Sus scrofa: one gene and its partner. The protein of the gene in region 1 binds, or shares a complex with, the protein of each later gene. Links are inferred from orthologs where the notes say so. Each region holds a gene or a part of one and is shown in the gene's direction. Other genes may lie near its edges.

Region 1 (3,828 bases):
CTGTGTTTTTCTTGAGTAAGTTTTCTCCTTGAAGAATCTTTATACACAATTTTATTCCTGTGTTGATTCAGCCAACTCAGCTTCCTCTTTCTGATTTAACGGATATGTTTATTTCTTCCACATTTCACTGAAAATAGTTTTTTATGTGTGTGTGTGATGGGAGTTTGTATATTTTTTTTTAAATAATTGATGAAGATTATTGGGTAAGAATTAAAATAAGTAAGAATTTTAAAAGTTCACATATTCTAACTTATCTTGGAGGTGTTTTATGGTAATATTTTAGGTAATGTACTGTGTTTTATATTTAGTTTATCTTCTGAATGAAGTATTGAGGAATGTAACCTCAAATGTACCCCAAAACATAAAGTTCTGAGATAGGTAGGGTTTTTTGTTTTGTTTTGTTTTGTTTTTTTTAAATCTGTGACTGAAAAGCTGAGATCAATATTTTTCATGTATTTCTTTAAATACTCAGATGTATGTAATACAGGATTTATTTGTATATCATGGGACATTTGTGGAAACACAAATTTCATGTAGAACAAAAATTTCATGTACTTGAAAAACAGGTAATAATTTACTACCAATTAAGTGTAATATAAAATGAATAGAAAGCTACTAATATATGAACTTGAAATGTTTATACCTAACAAATTTTAATGTCACATTTAATTTTTTTCGTGGTAGAATTTGAATACATCTGGCAAGACAAGTTCAAGTACAGATGGACCCAAATTCCCTGGAGATAAAAGTTCAACAACACAAAATAACAACCAGCAGAAAAAAGGGATCCAGGTGTTACCTGATGGTGGGACTCTATAAAATAATATCAAAGATACTATAGAATTCATATTTTTTACTTTTTCCTCAAAGATTAAAAATGACTATGTTTTTCTCATTCAGGTCGGGTTACTAACATTCCTCAAGGTATGGTGACGGACCAATTTGGAATGATTGGCCTGTTAACATTTATCAGGGCAGCAGAGACAGACCCAGGAATGGTACATCTTGCATTAGGAAGTGACTTAACAACATTAGGCCTCAATCTGAACTCTCCTGAGTAAGTTTTTTTCTTTTCTTCCACCTTTGTATATAATACCTCCCTGCATTTTTAAATTTTGTGTCATCAAATTACATTCTCTGCTGTCACTCATTGTTGCTGGTATCTACTGACTCTTGAATCATTCCTTCTATATTAGCTTCTAGATCATTCTCTCTTTATATTAATATTCCTCTTATCATTTGGCAGTTTCAGTATACATCCTTCCCAAATCCTAAAATCCTAGCTCCTTGAATTTCTCTTCTGCAGAACTCTTTCCCTGCATCATACCTCAGCTGCTCATTTCTTTGGTCATCCTTTTGACTTTGGCATTATTGGTAACCTCCCTTTCTCTGTGAGGTAATTAAATCTGTGCTACCATGTCACTTCTTGTTTCCATTTCTCTCCCTCAACTACTGGCTCCTATAATCATTAGATTCCACTGGGACCTTCAACCCATTGATTCTTCTACTTTCTAATGTTCCTCAGCATTCTTATGTCTCGTTCCCTTTGACCAACTCACTTCCTTCTCCAGTTAACTTCTGTGGTCAGTCATAATTTCTCATTTATATAAATCCCTGACTGCTCTGTCCCCTCTTGCTTTGTCATACCTGCATGGCAAAAACTTCAACTCGGTTATGTATCTGCTGATTCCATCCTTAGCCTGTGCTACTGAGCCTGGTTAGAGAAAAATTCACAACTTCACTGCTTGGTCTCATTTCACATTCATATCTGGGAACCCCAAGAATGGGCCCTTAATTCTGCCAACCATAATCAATGGACTGGCATGCCTAGTCCATTCATTCTTTTGTTCTCCCGTGCAGCTGTTTTACACTTGCCTCTTCAAACCCTGAGTGCTTTTCCCCCTGTGCTTACTTGCCAGGTAGTGAGTGACTTTGCTTTTTATTTCTACTTTACTAAGAAAGAAAGATGGAAACAATCAGAAGAGTGTCAGTATTGTCCTGCCTCAAAATCAGTTGCCTACAAATCATCTGCACCCACCTTACTCTTGTCTTCCACCCTGTTGTAGCCATGCTTTCTACTTAAAACCTCTCTTGAAAACTCAAAGAATCTAGTAATTGTTTGCATTTTGTTGAATTATTTCCATCAGCATACAAATACGCTGTTACTATGTTAACAAATATCTTCTCTTGATTCAGCTTATTCTACAAGTTATCACTCCCCCATTTATTCTCCTCTGAAGCAAAACTCTTCAAAAGAGCCATCTTTGTATCCTATTTGTCCTATTCTCTGTTAAACCCATTTCAGTTAGGATTTTGCCCTCATCAATTAAAACTGCTTTCTTCAAAGTCATCAAATGACCTCTGTTACTAGTTCAGCAGTCACTCTGGCAGCTAATCTTCTCTAACCAATCCGTAATGTTTGGCATAGTATAATCATCATTGCTGCATTGTTTTTTGCTGCTTTTGACTGCTCCCACCCTGGTTTAAATCACCATCTTTTTTTGTCTGGAGTCTCTCCTTGCCCTTTATAATCTTTGGTTCACATGGCAGCCAAGACAGTCTTTTTGTTTGTTTGGTTGGTTGGTTGTTTTTGTCTTTTTAGGGCCACACATGTGGCATATGGAGATTGCCAGGATAGGGGTCTAATTGGAGCTGTAGCCGCCAGCCTATGCAACAGCTACAGCAACGCCAGATCCTAGCTATGTCTGCAACCTACACCACAGCTCACAGCAACACTGGATCCTTAACCTACTGATGGAGGCCAGGGATTGAACCTGAAACCCCATGGTTCCCAGTTGGATTCATTTCCACTGTGCCACAACGGGAACTCTGAAGACAGTCCTTTTTGAATAAGTTAATTCTCTGCCCAATACTTAGTAAGGGTTTGTTGTTTTATTATGATTAAAACCCCCAAATCTTTATAGGCCTCCTAATCTCTACAGGGATGATCTGTGTCTCTTCTACCTATACCTCAACAGCTTGTCCCTTTTTTCACCCTGTTCCATCTTCAGTGGCCTTCCTGCTCTATACCTCATACATGTCAGTCATAACTGCATTGATTGCTTTAGCAGTTCCCTCTGACTAGAGTTATCTTCTGCCAAGTAACTAATAGTTATCTCCCTCATATCCTTCAGATCTTTGGTCACACATGACCTTCTAAATGAGACCTATCCTGACTACCCTATTTAATTATGCAAATAATCTTCCCTCCCTACCCCACCACTAACATGGAATATTATTTATATATTATGTAAATTGTTTTTGACTGCCTCCTTCCCAATCCACCATCCTCAACCAGAAAGTTTCATGTTATCAGTGATCTTTGTTGTGTTTGCTGATGTATAAGCACCTAGAACAGTGCCAGAAATATAATAGTAAATATTTGCTGATTTTGAACTTTTGTTTTTAATAATTACTGTTTTCTTTTTTCCTGGCCATATAAATAAGAAAGTAATTTTACTTGAGGGCATGGTGTTAATGAATTTAAAGCATTCTGAGTTGAGGTAATTGGGGGGGGGGGCCTTATTTCAATTTTCTGCTATGTAAGTCATAGTAAAAACAAAAAAAAATTAGAAGTTTAAAATATGCACATTTTACATTTGAAGTCATTATTTTTCCTGATTTCCTGAAATAAAATTAGATATCTTTTTTTCTACTTTGGACTTCAGAATGGTTTTTTTTTCCCCTTATTCAGAAATCTCTACCCCAAATTTGCATCACCCTGGGCATCTTCACCTTGTCGACCTCAAGACATAGGTAGGAAAATCTATTTGTTCATACCTTTTAAAAATGTATTTGTAACTGAGAATCAGTTAATAAGGCTTTTTT
Region 2 (3,828 bases), on another chromosome or scaffold:
GGAAGCTGGGGAAATTCTGTGATAGGGTATCTTAACGAGTCTCAACCAGAATAAAAGACTAGAATGAGGCTAAAGCTCTGAAGAAGCAACAGTCACTCATTAGCTACCATAGAAGGATGTTGGGCCATTTTGTGGTTTGGACAATGTTTGTGCTTTTACATATGTTCAGTCATGATTACAAAGTGGCCTTGTCTGATGTTAAGAGTGTGAAATTGTTTATATTCAGCAGAAGAACCTTAGGACTTAGCTGTGAATGCCAGGTCTGCTCCAAGCAACACTAAGGCTTAATGTTAATACCAGATGGAGCTCCTGTTTGTCTTTTCTCAAACCAAAAAATTCTGATCTCCCGGTGAAGCATTGTTGATTTGCAGTTTTGTGTTTGCTTTTTAATCAGTGGATTTCCATGAACACACTGTGCTGTTAAGTGTTTCTAGTTTTGCATATACTATTCAGTCTGCCTAGACTGTCTACTCAGTTAATTATTTTGCTTCTTTGGCACTGTCTTGGTGAACCTGCTGTTTTCTAGATTATTAGCTTCAAGAAGGGATTAGTGTCTTAATCATCCTTTCTCCCCCCACCCCCAATACCTAGCCTAACACGTTGCATCCAATAAAGTGGTTGTTGAGTTGGACTGAATTTAGAAAAGTTTTAATTTCTTTACTGCTTCAGAGTAAGTTGTTATTTAGGTTTTGTTTTTAGTTTCCTAATTTGCATTTTAATATTAAACTGATGTATTATTAGTATATTGAACATAAGAAAATAAATATGCTTTTTTTGAGAGGAGCAGGTAGTTTGTTAAAATATAAATATTTGAGTGTACATAGATAATGTTTTATATAATAGATGTTCTCACCCATAATTAGAATTGAAGTTATTTTTTTCCAGTAGAAATTCATTCAGATAATTTATTTCTCAGGCGATAAGGAATGAAAAACATTAGAGATGCCATAACATTTTACAGGAATAAGTGGTGGCATGAAGTTTTTAAGGTCATGCTTTCTTTGGACTGTAAAAAGAATACTGTTTAGCACAAGAAATTAAGGTTTTGGTGTTTAGATAAACCTTATTTCAGAAAAGCAGTTGGAAAGTATGATGCATTTTCTATTCTTTTTAACCAGTTCTTCATTGATTTTAGCATTAGAATACTGTGAGCAACATGTATTTGTGATTTTTTTCCTCCTTCCTTGGGAATACTTAGTTGCATGTATTGTGTGTATCTTACACATAGTAATTTTTTTACTGATGCAGTATTTAAAGTAAGAAGTCATTTAAGTTTGGAGAGTTTTATTTTATGGTTCTAAAAAGTAATGCTCTTCCTAGTTAAAAGGTACTTTGTAATCGAATATGAATTGTGTAGAACATCACCTATATCAAGAGTCTTTGACTTGTACCCCAAATTAATTATTTTAATTATTTGTGGATTGTGCTTTCAACCATTTAGTAAATAATAAACCTTAAAATATTTTACAGGACACCGAGTTTCCAGGTGTGGTTGCAAGACCCATTGGAGAATTCAGGAGTAATGCCGACTATCAGTACCAACTATTGCGGTGTAATGTAGACTTGTTAAAGATAATTCAGCTAGGACTGACATTTATGAATGAGCAAGGAGAATACCCTCCAGGAACTTCAACTTGGCAGTTTAATTTTAAATTTAATTTGACGTAAGTGGGAAATAAATATAATTCAAACCTGTTTTAGTTTGATTTTAGAAGTGAATTTCCCTGAAATGTGACAAATGAAATTCTAATTAAATTTGGTATCGTTATCCTGGAAATACTTAAAACCTTAAATTTCACAAGGTGTTTTTGTTTTTTTGTTTTTTTTTTAAATGGGGCAAAAAAATCAGGATAAAGAAGACTTTTAAATTCTAATATTTTGAGTTTTAGAGATGTTACTTGAAAAGTACGACTGGCACTACTTTGAAATTTGGAAAATTGGGTATTGAAAGTATCAGTAGAATAAATAACCGTATCTTAATTTTGCTTTCAAACTTTGGAATTTGAAACATACATGTCTCTGTTGTAATAATTATTCTTCTTGTGAAGAGATTTTTATTATGGTCATACTTCAGTTTATGTGTAGATTACACATCAAAAGTGCTAAAATATTTTTTAGAAACTTGAGTGCCTTTTCCTTTCATATCAGTATTTTATAATGCTTATGTTTCTAGTCAGCCCATAGAACTTTTTATCAGTTATATATAGGAGGAGTAATAGTAGCCTTGAGCCTGGTATTTCTTTTAGAAACAATTCAGAATCTGAATTCTTACTCAAATCTGGATCAGAACCCAGTTTCCTTACTTATACTACTTCTATATCATTGGTAGGAGTAGTCTTGATAGTTTTGGGAAGTTTCCACTGATTGGGGGTGAGGGCAGATTGGTTACAAACTGTAAGATGGGAAATGTTTGATACATTTTGAGTATGTTACTATACTGCGCTATTCTTCTACTGCACAGCCTCTGCTTGTGTCATATGATCTAACATCTGATTTGAAAAATAGTAAAAGAAGTTGTAGGACAATGAATGGTGGTGCCATTGTAAGAACCTCCCATTCTCTGTGATGTGCTATTTAGCATATAAGATCTAAAGAAAAGCAGGGCTGATGATTTTAGATGGTCAATGGTGCAGTAGTATGGCTATGTTTAGCATGACTGTTTCACTCTGTTGGATTTAATAATGTACTTTCTGGAATTTCGTAAAGGGTACAAGGTACTCTCATCTATTCAAACTGACAGTAACTTTTATAAGTGTGTAGTTCTCAAAATTGCCTTTTCTCCTTTCCTGGAAAGATAACCCTTTTTAAGATTAGTATTCTACTATTTCCTTGGTTGCATGTTATTTTTTTTTTCAAAGTTCATCATTAGAACATTGTTCTTTACTAAGGTATTGTTGTGATCTCGGTACGTGAGTAGGAGGACACCGATCAGTGTTTTTCAGTTTTGGTTAAGTTGACATTTTTTTTTTTCTAGAAACATTTTTGTTTTAATAACTGCTTTGTTATTAAAATCTTTGAAAGATATTTTTTCTTATACAGAATACTGCTATAGTTTTGCTACCATTCATACTAACATTAATGTCTTAAGAGATGTTTAAGGATAGAGTGGAAAATATTTAACTAGAGAGGGTCAGTTGGAGGATAAAACCAGTACCATGTGATGTGGAGAAAGAACCGTGAACATGAACAGAATCTTGGATATTTCAAAGAAAGATGAAAATTGGCTTTTTCATTGATTGCCTAGACTGAATGTGTCAGCACCGGGGAACATAGTGTTGAGAAAAGTTGGTCATGGTCATTATAACCTAGTGTTATAGTTATGTCTTCTGTTTTCTTTTGCCCAAGTCCAAGAATTAGAATTGGTAGGTCCAGATCAGTGTTTGGGAATTCACTGTAAACTGGATTTGAAGTTGATATGTACATGAAAATTGAAGTAGAATATGATATCTGATGGTGAAACCCAGAGGTTTTTCTCTTGAGATTGTGACTTAAATGGTCCAGGTGTGGGACTTGGGAATCCATATTTTGCTAAGTTCTCTGAATGTTGGTTATCATTGGGCAAGTTTGGGAAATACTGGTTTAAATAATATGATACTCCCTGGTGACATAACATTGAACAAAACAGACAAAAATCATTGCCCTCTTGTAGCTTAAATTCTTATTTAAGTTTAGATATCCTAGCTTGACTTTTGAAAGGTAGTCTTCTAGGAATAAGGTTAGGAGAGCAGAGTTATTCTAGCAGAGTTCTTCATTTTAAGCAGTTTACTGTTTATCGGGGCCATTTGAAAGGCTCATCGTTAGAGGAGGCATCTCCTTTTTATTTAAGAT

Evidence for each region.
Region 2: CNOT2 (region 1) and CNOT7 share a complex: the UniProt entries of both Homo sapiens proteins name them as parts of the CCR4-NOT complex. The link is inferred for Sus scrofa from reciprocal best matches to the Homo sapiens genes CNOT2 and CNOT7.

What each region holds. Positions count from the first base shown.
Region 1 is NC_010447.5:34,533,094-34,536,921, forward strand, and holds part of CNOT2 (CCR4-NOT transcription complex subunit 2), read left to right. Parts: intron 1-684; coding exon 685-805; intron 806-900; coding exon 901-1,057; intron 1,058-3,694; coding exon 3,695-3,756; intron 3,757-3,828. UniProt on the Homo sapiens protein: Component of the CCR4-NOT complex which is one of the major cellular mRNA deadenylases and is linked to various cellular processes including bulk mRNA degradation, miRNA-mediated repression, translational repression during translational initiation and general transcription regulation.
Region 2 is NC_010459.5:4,943,542-4,947,369, reverse strand, and holds part of CNOT7 (CCR4-NOT transcription complex subunit 7), read left to right. Parts: intron 1-1,470; coding exon 1,471-1,664; intron 1,665-3,828. UniProt on the Homo sapiens protein: Has 3'-5' poly(A) exoribonuclease activity for synthetic poly(A) RNA substrate. Its function seems to be partially redundant with that of CNOT8.